Linked DNA regions of Oryzias latipes. The protein of the gene in region 1 interacts with the protein of each later gene in a biochemical or structural test. Links are inferred from orthologs where the notes say so. Each region holds a gene or a part of one and is shown in the gene's direction. Other genes may lie near its edges. The genes, in order: heat shock protein beta-1, cs, mapkapk5 and mapkapk2.

The links.
Region 2: the proteins of heat shock protein beta-1 (region 1) and cs form a complex in vitro, tested with the Homo sapiens proteins (2 studies listed by BioGRID). The link is inferred for Oryzias latipes from reciprocal best matches to the Homo sapiens genes HSPB1 and CS.
Region 3: of the proteins of heat shock protein beta-1 (region 1) and mapkapk5, one has a biochemical effect on the other in vitro, tested with the Homo sapiens proteins (4 studies listed by BioGRID and IntAct). The link is inferred for Oryzias latipes from reciprocal best matches to the Homo sapiens genes HSPB1 and MAPKAPK5.
Region 4: of the proteins of heat shock protein beta-1 (region 1) and mapkapk2, one has a biochemical effect on the other in vitro, tested with the Homo sapiens proteins (17 studies listed by BioGRID and IntAct, with this or other methods). The link is inferred for Oryzias latipes from reciprocal best matches to the Homo sapiens genes HSPB1 and MAPKAPK2.

Annotation. Positions count from the first base shown.
Region 1 is NC_019870.2:13,682,122-13,685,180, reverse strand, and holds heat shock protein beta-1, read left to right. Parts: upstream 1-1,219; 5' UTR 1,220-1,412; coding exon 1,413-1,785; intron 1,786-1,854; coding exon 1,855-1,918; intron 1,919-2,010; coding exon 2,011-2,170; 3' UTR 2,171-2,494; downstream 2,495-3,059. UniProt on the Homo sapiens protein: Small heat shock protein which functions as a molecular chaperone probably maintaining denatured proteins in a folding-competent state. Plays a role in stress resistance and actin organization.
Region 2 is NC_019865.2:22,280,315-22,283,818, reverse strand, and holds the end of cs (citrate synthase, mitochondrial), read left to right. Parts: intron 1-347; coding exon 348-477; intron 478-1,644; coding exon 1,645-1,746; intron 1,747-1,905; coding exon 1,906-2,115; intron 2,116-2,202; coding exon 2,203-2,373; 3' UTR 2,374-2,956; downstream 2,957-3,504. UniProt on the Homo sapiens protein: Key enzyme of the Krebs tricarboxylic acid cycle which catalyzes the synthesis of citrate from acetyl coenzyme A and oxaloacetate.
Region 3 is NC_019867.2:7,513,057-7,517,331, forward strand, and holds the end of mapkapk5 (MAP kinase-activated protein kinase 5), read left to right. Parts: intron 1-48; coding exon 49-153; intron 154-747; coding exon 748-842; 3' UTR 843-3,720; downstream 3,721-4,275. UniProt on the Homo sapiens protein: Tumor suppressor serine/threonine-protein kinase involved in mTORC1 signaling and post-transcriptional regulation. Phosphorylates FOXO3, ERK3/MAPK6, ERK4/MAPK4, HSP27/HSPB1, p53/TP53 and RHEB.
Region 4 is NC_019863.2:27,980,432-27,984,449, reverse strand, and holds the start of mapkapk2 (MAP kinase-activated protein kinase 2), read left to right. Parts: upstream 1-1,210; 5' UTR 1,211-1,752; coding exon 1,753-1,992; intron 1,993-4,018. UniProt on the Homo sapiens protein: Stress-activated serine/threonine-protein kinase involved in cytokine production, endocytosis, reorganization of the cytoskeleton, cell migration, cell cycle control, chromatin remodeling, DNA damage response and transcriptional regulation.

The DNA of each region.
Region 1 (3,059 bases):
CTTTAAAATTCCAGCTTTTTTTTTGGCCTTTTTTTGATTAGTAGAAAGTGTATTCTTTTTAATTTTTAAGTGATAAAAAACGGATTCCATCTAATGTTTGACATCAAAATAGGTATTTGCACATTGCCAATCCATCACATCATTAGCATCTGGCTGCTATATGTATATCTACCAGTTTTTTTACACTCTGCAATTTAAGACACTTATGCAAAGCTTGTAAAATAAACTTTAGTGAAGTTTGCCCTTACTTTGACCCTAACCTTAACCATAAGTATTGCACACAAATGCACAAATACATATTAGCTGGATGATAACACTATTTTACAGAGGCCAATGCACTTGTGAGCTACAGTAAAATGTTACAGTATATTCACTTTATTTGGTTTCTTATCACACACATTAACTCTGGGTTATTTCCAAGAATTTTTGGATTTACAACTGAAGAGCGTTTTCCTTTCGATGACCCTAAAACACCTTTAAACTGATCTATGCTCATATTTTCATTGATTGCACACTTTAGACTTTTTTATATTCATTAGTAAACTAGCAATAGCACAGCTAAACTTCAGGCAATATTTTCTTTTAACATGTGCTTAATAACATTCTTAAGCAGACTGACATCAAGTCTGTTGTAACCTGGTGTGTCAAACATTAAAACCTGATAAACAATGAAATGTTTATGAGCAGAGTTCAGAAATATTCACGTTGCCTCCCTGATAAATGCCATTCCTCAGATAATTTATCTCACTCAAGCTCGGTTTATTTTTTGAACCCATGAAGATGTTTCTGTGAAATTCCACACCAGCTCCAGAACTCCATAGTCTTTCTCTCCATCTGTTTTTACCAGCTGTAAACACGTCTTTATCTTCTTCACCCTGAGATCCTGTTTGCTCTGCAGTTTTGCTCTTAAGTTAAGTTGGGAGGCTAAAAGCAACGCTTGTGTTTACCGTTTGACTTTTTGTGTGCTGCTTCACATGCAGCTGTGGTTTCGGTGGACAAAGAGCTCCAGTATGTGACGGGACTGCAGAGGCCATGGCTGAATGACACGACTTCTCCCTGCTTCCAGAATCATTCCCCAACAACTTACCGGAGACACTCAAAAGATATAAATACACATAATTGGCATTGTCCTCTCCGAGTCCCAGGGCAACAGGAGAGTTGACGCCCCGGCCCATCACATTTCATCCCTTACATCACACTTGTTAAAGCACAAGTGTGAAGAGGAGGCCGTTGGTTATATAAAGCGTGTGAGTGGATTGCTGCGGACTCCAAAATAGGCTTTTCCCCAAACCTCCTGCTTACTTACAGTTTTTGAGTTTCGTTTTGGTTGGTCTGATCTCGTCTTGCATTTTTCTGTCAGGTGGGAGCAAGAGCTTTTATTTTCAGTCTCCTTTTCTTGAGTTTTGAACCACATGGGTGATCAAAATAAAACACTATCCCGGCCCATATTCCGTCGAGATGTCCGCTGGGATCCTTTCCCAAACTGGACTCAGCCAAGCCGTATTTTTGCCCAGGACTTCGGCATTCCTCCTTTCCTGGAGCCCAATGATCTGGACTGGCTTGACTGGGCAAAAAAGAGACTGGCTTCTTTCTCCTGGCCGGGTTACACGCAAAGCCCCCTCCTGCCTCCCATCACGCCGGACCAGAAGAGTCTGAGACAACTGACTAGCGGTGTGTCTGAGGTGAGAACGGGGCAAAACAGCTGGAAGATCAACCTGGACGTCAATCATTTTTCACCCGAAGAGATCTCCATCAGCACAAAGGATGGCTACTTGCAAATATCAGGTACGTAGGCTTAATTTTTTTTCATTTTATACATAAAGATGTTTATTAATAATTACTGTTTTTTTTAAGGAACTCATGAAGAAAAGCAAGATGAACACAGTTTGGTTTCAAGATGTTTCACTCGTAAATACAAGTAAGGAGGCTGAGAAGCAAATTCGAGACACATTTAGGATGCGACCGTAACATATTTCTGTTTGTGACAAACGTTCTCTCATTTTTTTCGAGGTTACCACAAGGGGTGAATCTGCAGCACATCAGCTCATCCCTGTCCTCAGAAGGAATGTTGTCCGTAGAAGCTCCCGTCCCAGGAACATCCATCAGCAGCCCGGACAATGAGATCGTCATCCCCGTTCAGACCAAAAAGACACAGGACAGTGAGAAATGAACATAGTGAGCAGAAAGTAGCTCAAACTGTGCATAGCAGCAATTATTAAAATTACACAAAGCAGACTAGATTGCTTAAATTTAATGTTATCATTTGCTTTTTGGGAGATTTGAGACTTTTATAATCTAATTTAAACTTAATAAAAAGCAGAAATGGTATTGGATCCAATAAAACAAACCCTTGCTGTCCTTTTTAATTTTGTAATTTTGCACTAAAATTTTGTTTACTATAAACTGGTCTTTATCTTACTGTTCTTGTAGAATGATTGTATTATGCAATTTCAGCCTTCACAATGAAACAGAAATAAAATTTGGTAAAAATACATTTCTTTCACAGATTGTGGTTTTGTCACAATATTCATTCTTGCAGCTCAAACTTTTTTTTAACATGAAAACTTACACCTAAAAACAGGTCAGAGGTCACCAATTTTTTACAACCCATAATAACTAACAGTATATTGTAAGGATCAATATTTTAGGCAAGGACACGGAAAAAAGAATAGACAAAAAAAGTCTTTTTGTAGCTGTGCAGCAAAAATTTACTGTTACTAAATTTAAAACGGTGTGAAGTATGATATTGTTTGTACGAGGTTTCTGAAAATATTATATCATTACCTTGTAAAACAGTTTTAACTGCAAATTTAATAAAGATTTAAAGACTTAACTTAATTTTTTTACCTCTTAAAAACTCTACCTTAATTTGGGGGAAATGGAGACAGCACTCCAAAGTTATATAAAACAAAAATAAAACAAATCTAATATTAATAAAAAGACAAACTTAAAATTAAATTAGTTTTGCTCTTTCCCCCCCCTTTAAAGTTCTCTTTAAGTACAAAAGGTCAAAGTTCACTATTTATGCTGATCTTGATTTTAGCAAATTATCTATACAA
Region 2 (3,504 bases), on another chromosome or scaffold:
AGTTTCGAAGTTTTCTATCGACAGTTGGTTTCTCATCAGAGTAGTTTTTGGGAAAATTCTTGTTACTTTAAGACACATATTCAGAACTTTATCTTAAAGTAATATTTAGTATAAATAAGGTGTATAAAAGAAAACATGGTTCCTAAACAGCTGGTGCTTTAGAACTGAAATGGTTAAACCCATGTCTGTCTTCATTTCTTTTCTTTTCTTGACATTGTGTTACTTTGCTATAATATGAATTAGAAATCATGGAAATTGTGTTTGCTTAATCAAATTCCATATGTTTTTTTTTTTAAATGTATTTATTTACGTTTCTTTGGTGTTTCCTCTGTCTTTTCATTCTTTAGTGACCATGAAGGCGGCAATGTCAGTGCACACACAAGCCACCTCGTAGGCAGCGCCCTGTCTGATCCCTATCTGTCCTTCAGCGCCGCCATGAATGGTCTGGCCGGTCCTCTCCACGGGTTGGCCAATCAGGTTTGTACTCAACTTTCACACACACCCTTCCCTCCAGAACAACACAAATGTTGTGTGTTTGTTTCAGCCACAGCAAGTCTGTGAAAAAAAAACACTACAAACGTAAGAATCATTAACCAATTTCAGTGTAAGGATGCAGATAAGCTTTATAGTTTTGTGTTAACTTTGAGAGTTATTTGTCTAACTGGTATTTTTCCCAAACTAGCTACCGGTAGTTGGGGGGGAAAATACAGGTTGGCTAATGTTGCCTCTGAAAACACATCTGGTTTTCCGATTAGCTGAGAGTGAAAAAGGAAATGTATACTTAAGGTCTTGTGGCTCTGTATTTGTTGAGATTTTATAAAATATAATATTTTCAAACAAATTATATAAAATATGATCACATCATAGCAAATGATCCTATTTTCAAATAAATCAACATCTTTCCACCAACCTTTATTAAAAACTCTTTTTGCAGAAGTGTTTTCCAAAATAAAGTTCCTTCTCATACAGTGGAAGATGCAAATAAAAATGGAAAAAGCAATGATACCATTGTTTTAAAATCAATTACCCAGACAACAAGTTTCTCTTCAGTCTTTAAATTAATGAAAACTATATTTTTATGTTTTCTGCACTAACATGATTTGTTCATTTAATGCTGGATAGTCAAAGCTGAATGACTCAGCAGAAATATTTATGCCGGCTAATCATCATTTTGTGGTTTCAGATGATATCAATCACATTCCAATGTTGTCAAGCATTTCTTAAATTCATAAAACAAATGTTATTTAAAAAAAAGAAGAAATATATAAACTGATTCATACGTTTGTAACTGTTTTTTACTTTAAGTCAAAGTATGGTTCTGTGAAACTAGTCTTTGGAATGGAATGGTACACAAATGTACTTCTGTTAAAGTAAAGATTACCGGTACTTCCTTCCTCTGCGTCGTTGTCCATTTCTCCTCACAGCAAAAGTGTCGTGTTTGTTGATTGTAGCAACAACCCTGACATTTTGTATTTCCAAAGCAAACATGTTTACTTGATATTTGCCCGGTTGTTCTTTATTTACTAAAATAGCTGACTCATCATTCAGGAGTCGGTTGACGTTATTGATCAGGATTTAATGTAGATCCGTCATTATGAGGATTCCTCATGCATCCCTGCTGCCTGTGTGGTTTTGTGTGGACAGGAGGTGCTGGTGTGGCTGACCGCCCTGCAGAAGGAGCTGGGCGGGGAGGTTTCTGATGAAAGGATGAGGGACTACATCTGGAACACCCTCAAATCTGGACGGGTAACTGGATTCTCACACTTCCAGTATACATTTGTGTTTAAAAGCCAGTTCTGGCCTCATCTGTTGTCTGGAGTTTAGAAAATACTTCCAAACATTTAGCTGTAATCCACAGAAAGTTCCCCAAATGACAAGATCGTCCTTTCGTTTTCCTCACTGTAGGTGGTGCCGGGCTATGGCCATGCTGTCCTGAGAAAGACCGACCCGCGTTACACTTGTCAGCGCGAGTTTGCCCTGAAACATCTGCCCAATGACCCCATGTTTAAACTGGTTGCCCAGCTTTACAAGATTGTGCCCAATGTCCTGCTGGAACAGGGGAAGGCGAAGAACCCCTGGCCCAACGTGGACGCTCACAGCGGTGTTCTTCTGCAGGTGAGACATCTCATTAATCTTCATCAGATGAAGATTAGGCTAATCCTGATTGAGGGGTGTCTGACTCTGCTTTCCCCGTGTGCGCAGTACTATGGAATGACGGAGATGAACTACTACACTGTCCTTTTTGGCGTGTCTCGCGCCCTCGGCGTCCTGGCCCAGCTCGTGTGGAGTAGGGCGCTGGGCTTCCCTCTGGAGCGTCCCAAGTCCATGAGCACGGACGGATTGATGTCTCTGGTTGGATCCAAGTCTGGTTGAGAGGAGCTGGGCGTTTAGTGAGAAGGGTAGGAAGGTTCAGAAACATCAGAAGGCAGACATCAGTTGACCCAACGTCGTTTTCCAACCCAAGGGATTTAACGGGATTCAGTATGCTTTTAATGCTATTTCACTTAAGAAGGGCCTTTTAATTTGTCACACCGTTAGCGATGAAACGTTTAAGTGAGCCGCTGACGAGATTTCCTGTTGTATCTGCACATTTAATACAAGAATGGAGCAAACTTCAAACACAGACATTCAACCTTGGATAGGCTCAAGCTACGTCTGCTTGAGTGTTTCCCATCAAACATTGACTTATGAGTAAGCAGAGAGGTATTCAAAGGGAATCATGGAAGTAAACTAAATGCCATTTAAAAAAAAAAAAAAAAAAAGGCTTAATTGGAATATACTAAACATTTGCTGCTTTTAGCCAACTATTCTTTTTCTTCTGGAGTAAAAGTCCGGGGGAAAAAAAAATTAACTTATGTTTCTTCTATGCAATCAAATCTCATCTGTTTATTTCACTCCCACTTACTAACACTCCAGCTAAAAAAAACAAGGTCCTGATTAGTAAAACAGTGTGCAATCTGATTTAAAAAAAAATTTTTTTTTTAAAAATATGCTTAAAAGATACTGCCCCTTTAAATCTGTGATCTCCTTTTGTTGTCCAATAGCTGACCTGTATTACCTCTACGATCAAAATAACTCGTTTGTGTAGACGTACGACAGCTAACTCTTTCTTCTTCTTTTTTTTATGGGGTTTTGAAAGGTCTTAACGAGAATGGAAGAAGATGTAATGTACATTTGGCCGGCGGGTGTTTGGAATTTGCAGCCCGTGTGATCTTTAAAAGCAAGCTTGAATGAAACGTGGGATTATGGGAGGGACTTATTGTATTTTTAGCGTAGGTTTGACTTTGTCATCACAGGAAAGCGCTTTAAACATCGTCTACTCAACAGTGAGCACTTGCTTGATTGGTTTTCCCACCCTGTAGCAGATAAAGAACCCCCTCCCTGTTTGTTTTTTTGAGGGGTGTTTGATATGTATAAAAATATAGTGTGGGTTCTCATGTTGTGGTTTTATTTATACTTTGTGTACATAGGTATATATATGTATAGCTTGAATGTATGAGCTCA
Region 3 (4,275 bases), on another chromosome or scaffold:
GAAATACAAGTGTGAGTCAGTTGCAAGTGAGAGCTTCTGCTTTTCCAGGAGAGAACAAGGATGAAAAGCTGAATGAGGTGATGTTTGAAGCCTGGAGATTCAACAGAGACTGCAAGCTGTTGAGAGACAGCCTGCAGGGGCTCAGCTGGAACGGTCAGTAGTTGTAGTTCATCCTAAAAATACATTTTATTCCTCGTTTTTTTATGTGCTTTTAGTTCAGAGACTCTGGGAGAGATCTCCAAACGAAATCCTAAAAGAAACTCAAAGGTTTTCTCAGCCGTCCATGTTGTGGGTTTCTGCACATTTATCTCCAGAAGACTTTTATATCAAAATAAAGATTTAAAGACCCACTCCGATCATCTTTTTTTGCGATTTTAGCTAAAATAAAAATAAAAAATCTGTGTCGTTTTCTAGGACATAGTTTCTACAGAGCGGCAGTAGTTCTTTCGAAATTAGCTCTTTTGAATGTCAACAGCATTTTTCCTTTGCTTCTGATTCACAACATTTGAATAAATAAATACTCAAAAATGCCATTTAAAGCTTCATTTTCTTGATATGTGTTGTCTATCGTGAGACAAATGCCACAAAAACATGTTAAAAAACCCCAAAAAATGTAATCTGAGTGGTTCTTTCAATGCAGACTCTGTAATGTCTTCCTTAAAGCCAATTCCTCCATATTTTTCCAAACTGAGGGAGATCAGAGCAAAGGACTGAGCAAGTCTTTGACCACCAGTGTTTTCATTGCAGGACGGGCCTTTTCTGATAAAGTTGATCGTTTGAAGTTGGCAGAAATCGTCAAGCTGGCCATTGAAGAGAAGACAAACCTTCAAGAATCTCACTAAAAAAAAAAGAAGCTGTCTTTCTACCCCCCTTCTCCTTTTATATTGTTTATTATCCTTTTTTTTTTAAACTCATATCTGTACAAAGGCTTTTTTTTAATGTCAAAATGATGCGCTATTCCTTTTTTTTCCTCTTTCATAAACTCACTTGCAAGACAACGTCGATCTATCGCAAGAGCTATTGTACAGCTGTAGATACATTTCAGAGAACTTGTTGGTACTTTGATTTTTTTAAAAGGACAATTGCAAAGAACAATGAAAATAGTATATATTTTACTTTTTTCAAAGAAAAAAAACTGAAGAAAAAAAACCCTACGGAAATCTGTGAAAGAAATTATTTTTGGGGAGGGAATTTTTATTAGCTGCTCATATTCAATGTCATTCATTTGATGGTAATATTTCATGATGTTATTTTATTTTAATCATCCTACTAGTTTTATTTATTGAAACAAAATTCCAATCTTTTATACATGTCATGTAGTTGGTAGTGTGCTCTACAGTTTAGAGAAGCTGTCTATAATGTGACTGTTCTTCCGCACATTTGGTCCTCATATCGGTTGTTTTTTCTTTGTTTTTGTTTTTTAACGAGATGACGAGGAGGAGCAGACGCATAAAAGTGTCATCTTGTTTCAATCACTTGTTTTAATCTTCTGAAACAGCCCCACTAAAAAAAAAAACACGCAAATCTTCTATGAAAAGTTGTTTTTTTAAGTATACAAAGGAAAAAAAATTGTTGTATTTTTACCAGGCTAGAAAGATAAAAGCATGCAAATGTGTCTCCCTTTATGGGAAAAAAAAGATGCATGCGTCTGTCGCATCTGGTCATTTTAATGGGTTAAAGCTTGTAAAAGACCTATACGAACATATCAAAGCCAAGTATGAACTTTATACGGCTTATTTAGTGTCTATGTTTGGCAAAAAAAGAAGGCTGACAATCTCCTTTTCAGAGCTTCCAGTTGTCTCTGCCTTCTTTTGAGGGTGTTGCAGGATGTGGTTAAAGATCTAAAGAAAACTTGATTCTCAAAGCATATGAGGTTCGTGCCTAGCAAATAAAAATCAACTGAATTTTTTGTTAATGTCTTTTTAAATTCCTTCCACGAGTTTGAAACGCCTCAAATTCAGTCCCGTCAAGCTTGCACCGTCGGAGCTGCTTTTTGCATAAAGTTGCTGGAATTCAGATCAGAAATGATGTTTTCATGTCAAATACTTGAGTTCAGAGGATAAAACAAAACAAAAAATCAGATGTTGGGTTTGTTCTCGTAAAAGATCAGAAAAGGGTCTGGATTTCCATCTTGAAGACTTGCAGTCCGACTTGACGTGAACTTTTTGGAGATGCGCTCAGAATGAGTGCAGCCTAGCCTATCTGCCAGTGTTACTGTTGAAGGACATTCCCTGCTTCATTTCAGTGGGCTTTTCCCCACTGAAATCAGACCTTTCATTTTATTCATATCCGAGTTTGTTTCTGTAAATGTTGACTTGACTGAAGGTTGAGTTTACTGAATGGATGACTTCAGGTTTACTCTTTTTCATCTGCAGCTCTGATGCTTTACATGTCTTTCTTCCCTTTATGAAACGCTGCATCTCTCTTTTATAACAGGAAATGTTCCGCTTGCATATTGTGACCTTTTGCGAGGCGAAGTGCTGCAAACATTGGCCAAACGTCTCCGCTGTCCAGTGAAATCTCTCTGATTGGGATCGTTGATATCTTTACTTTCAACAGGCCTGCAGAAAAAGTCTTCCTTTGTGTGCTGATCTTTCCAGTTTGGTGTAAAAGTGACAAAAGTTGAAGTACAAATGTAGCTCGGAGAGAGCGTTTTCAGTCCTGAAAGCTCAAAGACGACCACAGCTTGTGTTTGATGGACCTTTATTTTGGTGAACTCTTGCACGCTAATGTGCCTTGTGCAAAGGGCAGCGTTTATTGTTCTTACTTACAGAAATGGATCACAGAGAGGTCAATCAGAAGAGGGGAAAGATGGACAGTGGTCCTTTTCTCATTCCACAACTCGTCACAGAGTTGAAGTACGTTCACACTAATGCCATGTTTGATGAGACATCATTTGCCCTTGTTCAACAGTTTTTTTCCCCCGTTTATCTCAGCTGAAACACTAAGAATATGCAGTTTGCAGATCTAACTGCAATGTTTAAAGCCTATTTCAATTAAAAGCGAATGTTATTTCTGCCTGTGGTTATGGCCAACATCTACAGCAGCAGGGTAAACTGCCTGAACTCTTTATAGATCTGACATTTTTATTGTTTTTAATCCACAAAAGGCTGTTTTTTTTCCTTCTACAAAATAAGAGGTTAATGAATACTTGAATACAAATGTGTGGACAACCATTTTGCAAACTTGTTATAGCCAGAAGCTCATTTAAAGCTTCTTTATATTTTTTATTTACCCATAAAATTGATCAAACTACAAATTAAAGTACGAAAGTATTGAGAATAAGCATGTTCTGCACTGTTCATCAGCTGTTTTCTGCTCCACATTTCTAATACAATTGCATATTTGAACAGATTTATCTTAAGGAGCTACTACAGATTTTTTTTTAATTAGTAGCATCTTCTTGGAGGTTTTTATTAGTAGCAATCCTAATTTCAGATGTTAACCTGCCCCTTTTTTTTAGCATCTCATTGAAATGATAGAAACAGTAGCTTTTGATTTCCTTTGGGAACTTGCACTCTGAGAATGAACAAACTCCTGCTGTTGTAACTGCAATGACATGTCCATTTCAAATTGGGGGAATGTTGACAAATTCATTTTCTGAGTGGCTGTATTTTCCGTTTCCACATGCATTTGTGCCCCGTTTGCCTTCTCAGAATGTCTTCAACATGCTGACTTTGTAATAAAATACAATAAAATTTCAGCATTGTAAAAACGTCTGATTAATGGGGGTCTTTTTATTTTTTTACATTGGCCAAAAGTGGAAGTTTAATTTTACACAATTTTAAATAAAATGAATAGGAATGCAGCTGTTTGTCATATCTAGTACTTTCTTTATTGCAGACTAAAGATAGAAACTCACCTTAAAAGGAAAAAAAAAGACTTCAGATATTTTAAAGCATTTTTTAATTAGGTGGAAATCAGACGCAAAAATCAAACTTTGTGAAGCCGATCAATATAAAGTTATTTTCATGAGGTCTGTAGCAACAGTGATATTAAAGTAGGTTGTTTTTTTTGCAGGTGGAAAAGTTATAAACCACAAAACAGTTTATGTACACTTTACCACACAAAAGTAATCTATGCACATCAGTGGCCCCCCTTATATTTATGACAGGAAGTTAACCCAATTACAAGCCTCAAGCCTCCACTTCAGGAAGTAAAGCTTTAAAGCTTGACAGACCAGATCCATTTTTAAACTTTAAGGACACGTTTATTCCCAACTGCATGTTGACAATTGGTCCTCTTGAGAGCTTTTGGTCACATTTCTGTTCACAG
Region 4 (4,018 bases), on another chromosome or scaffold:
AGCATGGATATCACAAATTTTAGTTTCAATTGCAATTTTATTAGTCACATATATATATATATTCAATAAAACTCGCTTTGTGCTGCTTTCCAACATGTAAATATTGCATGAGTGAATTTTTAAGACAAATTTGAAGGAGAAATGAATGAATAAAAATATATAATTACTAAAAACATTTGCAATCTTAAGATAAAAACAAATAAATAAATAAACGGCGGGCCGGGAGAAATTTGAATGAGGGCCTAAGGGCCTGACTTTGGACATGCTTGTTTTAAGCCATTTAAAATTCATATGAACTCATAGTACTTTAGTGAATTTTCTGTCTGTGTTCTTTGTAAGTTTTGTCCTGGTATTCCAAACGCTTGTTTGTCTAACTGTTGTTGAAAACTAGAGGCAGTCACTTCCGCTTGATCATATTTGGTGGAATTTTTTGTTTTATCTTTTTAGGCACAAAGACCACAGGTTCTCTATTTGGTCTATGTTTTCTCCTTTCTAAAAATAGATAGTTTGCATTTATATTCTCATGGAATAAAGTGACTAAAGCTGACGGTTGCTGCTCCAATTTTTCTTTCACTTCACTAGGGGACAAATATTATTATAGGTCTTTATTATAAATTATAAATAAGTGTCAGGACATTTGTTTTTTACTATACGTTTCACTTTTGTATGTAATTGAAATAAACAACAATGCAGGATTCGTGTGACTAACTTGCATTACACTGATTATTATAGGATTGGTGCTAACCGGGGGGCAAAACTCCCAAAAAACTCCAACCAGATCCAATGCATGCAATTTTCTGGACTGTCGGGGAAAAATAATGTTCTGGTCCAACCAAAACCCTTCTCACAGTGCGACAACTGGTTATTTCAGGTTTAATTCCAGGTTTTAACGCCTAACCTTGAGGTAACCTATGGTGTTCATGGAGTCAGAGATTACTGGGTCTATTTTTGTCCTGCTCTCCCTCTGCTGCCTCAATACTATGAGAGAGGGTCTCTTCTAATAAACGCTAAAGCTACAAAATAAAAGTCGAGCTGCTGGTTTGGAGAACTTTGTTGCCATTTTCCAATATCCAGAAAAAAACGGGGACACTTTTAGACTTTGAGGCATGTTGTGTCGCCTCGCTGACGGTACTCGTGGTCTGATTTATATTCGGCTCTTCCTGCTATCTCACTTCTCCTTTAAGTAGCGAACATCCCCCTCGCCGTGACGTCACCAACAGACCTGCTGGGTGTCTGCTTCACCAGAAACTGAAGTGGTTTTGCTAAGCGAATCGGACTTTCCCCCCCTCTTTTGTTTTGTCTTTTCAATAGCGTTTGGTTTTCTTTGATAACTTTAACGGGAAGGTGTCCTTTGACCTGCGATGAAAACTGGCGCCGTGGCGTACTTAGAGGATGTTTCGGAAAAGTTTCAGGAGCTTTCTTTGAGGAACCGGTAAAAGGCAGAAACACCCGGAGATGTATAAGCTAACCCCCTAGCTTCGCCGCTAGCCAAGAATCCGATCAATAGCTCACAGGGCAGGATCGAAAAATGCTAGCATGCTAACCGCGAGCTAGTTTAGCTTTTGTCGGCTAACCAATTGACTTTTTTCCAACCTGTAACGTCACAACTACTGTCAGCTAGTCCCCGGGCCTGGGTCCGTACTGCTCAAAGGCCAGCTAACCAAGGAAGAGTTAGTTTGTTTTAAAGGAAAATAGCAGAGCGGCATTGTTGAGAGGTGACGTCCGTTCATCTCTCAGCCTCGACTAGTAAACATGCTGTCCAACGCTCAGAACCAACCACTCTTTCCAAACCCGGCGGGTCAACAGAACCCGGGTGAGCAGCAAAACCCCACGGGCCAGTTCGTCTCTTTCCACTCTAAACCCACCCTACAAATTAAGAAGAACGCCATCACAGACGAGTACAAGGTGACCAACCAGGTGTTGGGGCTGGGCATCAATGGAAAAGTGCTGGAAATCTTCCACAAGAAGACCGGCGACAAGTTTGCGCTGAAGGTAGGTCTAAGTTTCGGTGGGTCCTAGTTTCTGACGTTGTCACATGTGGGAACTACTAGGCTCTCACAGCTCAGACTAAACAGCTTTTGAGGTTTTGCACAAGTCTTGATGATGATGGGGTTGCTGTTGCTCTGTCTGTGGGTCAAGCGTTTAGCCAATTGGTTGTCCAAGGGTTCAAATCCCAGGTAACTTGTCTGTGGTTCTATGGCTTCTGGCCTTACATTGTCTCAACAGTAAAACAACAATACATCTCTAGAGATACAATTATTTTTTTGGCTGTAACTTATTGGGTAGAGCTGCTGTCTGTCAGCCAATTAGCTGGGGGTTCAAATCCCAGACTTGGCAGTCATTACAGACAGGACAAAAAAACAAACATCCCACGTCAAATCTAAATGCTACTTATCCTTATTTTTATTTATTTTTATTTCTTTAATTCTTATTTTTATTTTCTTCACTTCAGCAAACCAGTTTTAAAGTAACATTTTAGACTAAACAATACAAAACCATATTTTGGTCTGTGTCTTCTACTGGTTTTAGTGGACATTTTGTGTTGGGTAATTATTAATACACAACAAATATCTTAAAAGATACACACACACACACACACACACACACACACACACACACACACACACACACACACACACACACACACACACACACGGGTGTTATCACACATATCACAGTAGAATGTATTCTATTATTGTATGTTTTAACTCCTGGTGAGGGCAGTTTGCGTAAACTGTGAACAATAAACAATAGTAAATCACCACCAAAGAAAATGTTACAGATCTAGTTAAAGTAGTAAATTACGGTCACAACTTTCTGCTTTCCAGTTATAAACACAAACTATGGTTACTCCTGCTTGGTGTGTAATTTGTGTTTAAGGGTTGGTAGATTGTGAGAAGCTCAACTATGTATGCATACTCCCATAATGTCACAAGTGAGTACTTCTACTCTCAATATATATAAGTACAAAAAGGGAAGTAGAATTTATCTGTGGGAATGTGATCTGCAGTAAGGAATTAGGTCATCATTATTTGTATAGGTTAAAACTGCAGTTTTTTGTTTTTTACAAATGCAAACCAATACTATCTTGATTGTTTGCATAGTTTTGATTTTGTGGTCAGTAAACAAAGCAAAACATTTGATATAAAGCTCAGTCCACAGTTTAAAATACAAAAAGGCATCTGAGATGACTGAGAGTTGAAGCTTAAGATCTGTGTTGTAGTATTCTCTTTTAAAATAGCATACTTTTAACGAACCACCTTAACAAACTGGCTCTGTGGGTTTGCCGTTCAGTGGAAACATTTCTTCGGTCACTTTGTGCACCACTAAATAGGAAGCATTGTTCAAAGAGCTGAAAGGCCAAAAGCTTTAATGCTTGGAAGTTGGTGTCGACTTAACCCTTGTGCTATCTTAGATGACCCCTCCCTTACCTTGACGTGTTATTCCTACCATGACAAAGGTGGAGAAAGGTGGAAAGATTTCATGTAATCCATGGACACCAATGAAGATCACAGATCATTGAAGAAAAAAGGTTCAGAGCACTGTCTAGTGGGTCTAGATGACCCAACTCCAAACGTTTAAGTGCTTAGGATAGCACAAGGGTTATGAGGTTGCAGCTGGGGTAGAATGGCACTTATGGTGTAGTTGATGACCACTGAAGTGCACGTCTCTGCGTGTTTATAGGTGGCATGCAGTGTTATTGTGGACTGTGTAATGTTTTGAATACATCCATAGCAGTCCATTAGTTTGCTCTTTATATTATTTTCATAACTTCATTTTTTTATGTTTTGTGTCAGTGTTGCTGTATAAAAGCGTTCATAATAACTCCCCATAAACGTTTACCCTTTACATTAGCCGTCACCCCCTTTTTCCTAATATTTTTCTTTCCATTTGTGTTTTTTGGACTGTCAGTAACATGAAGAAACTGGAGAAACTTACAGTTGAGCATATGGATCTTTATTGTGGATTCTAAATATGGAGCCTTAATAAACTAGCTGTTGAAATTTATCATGAAAAA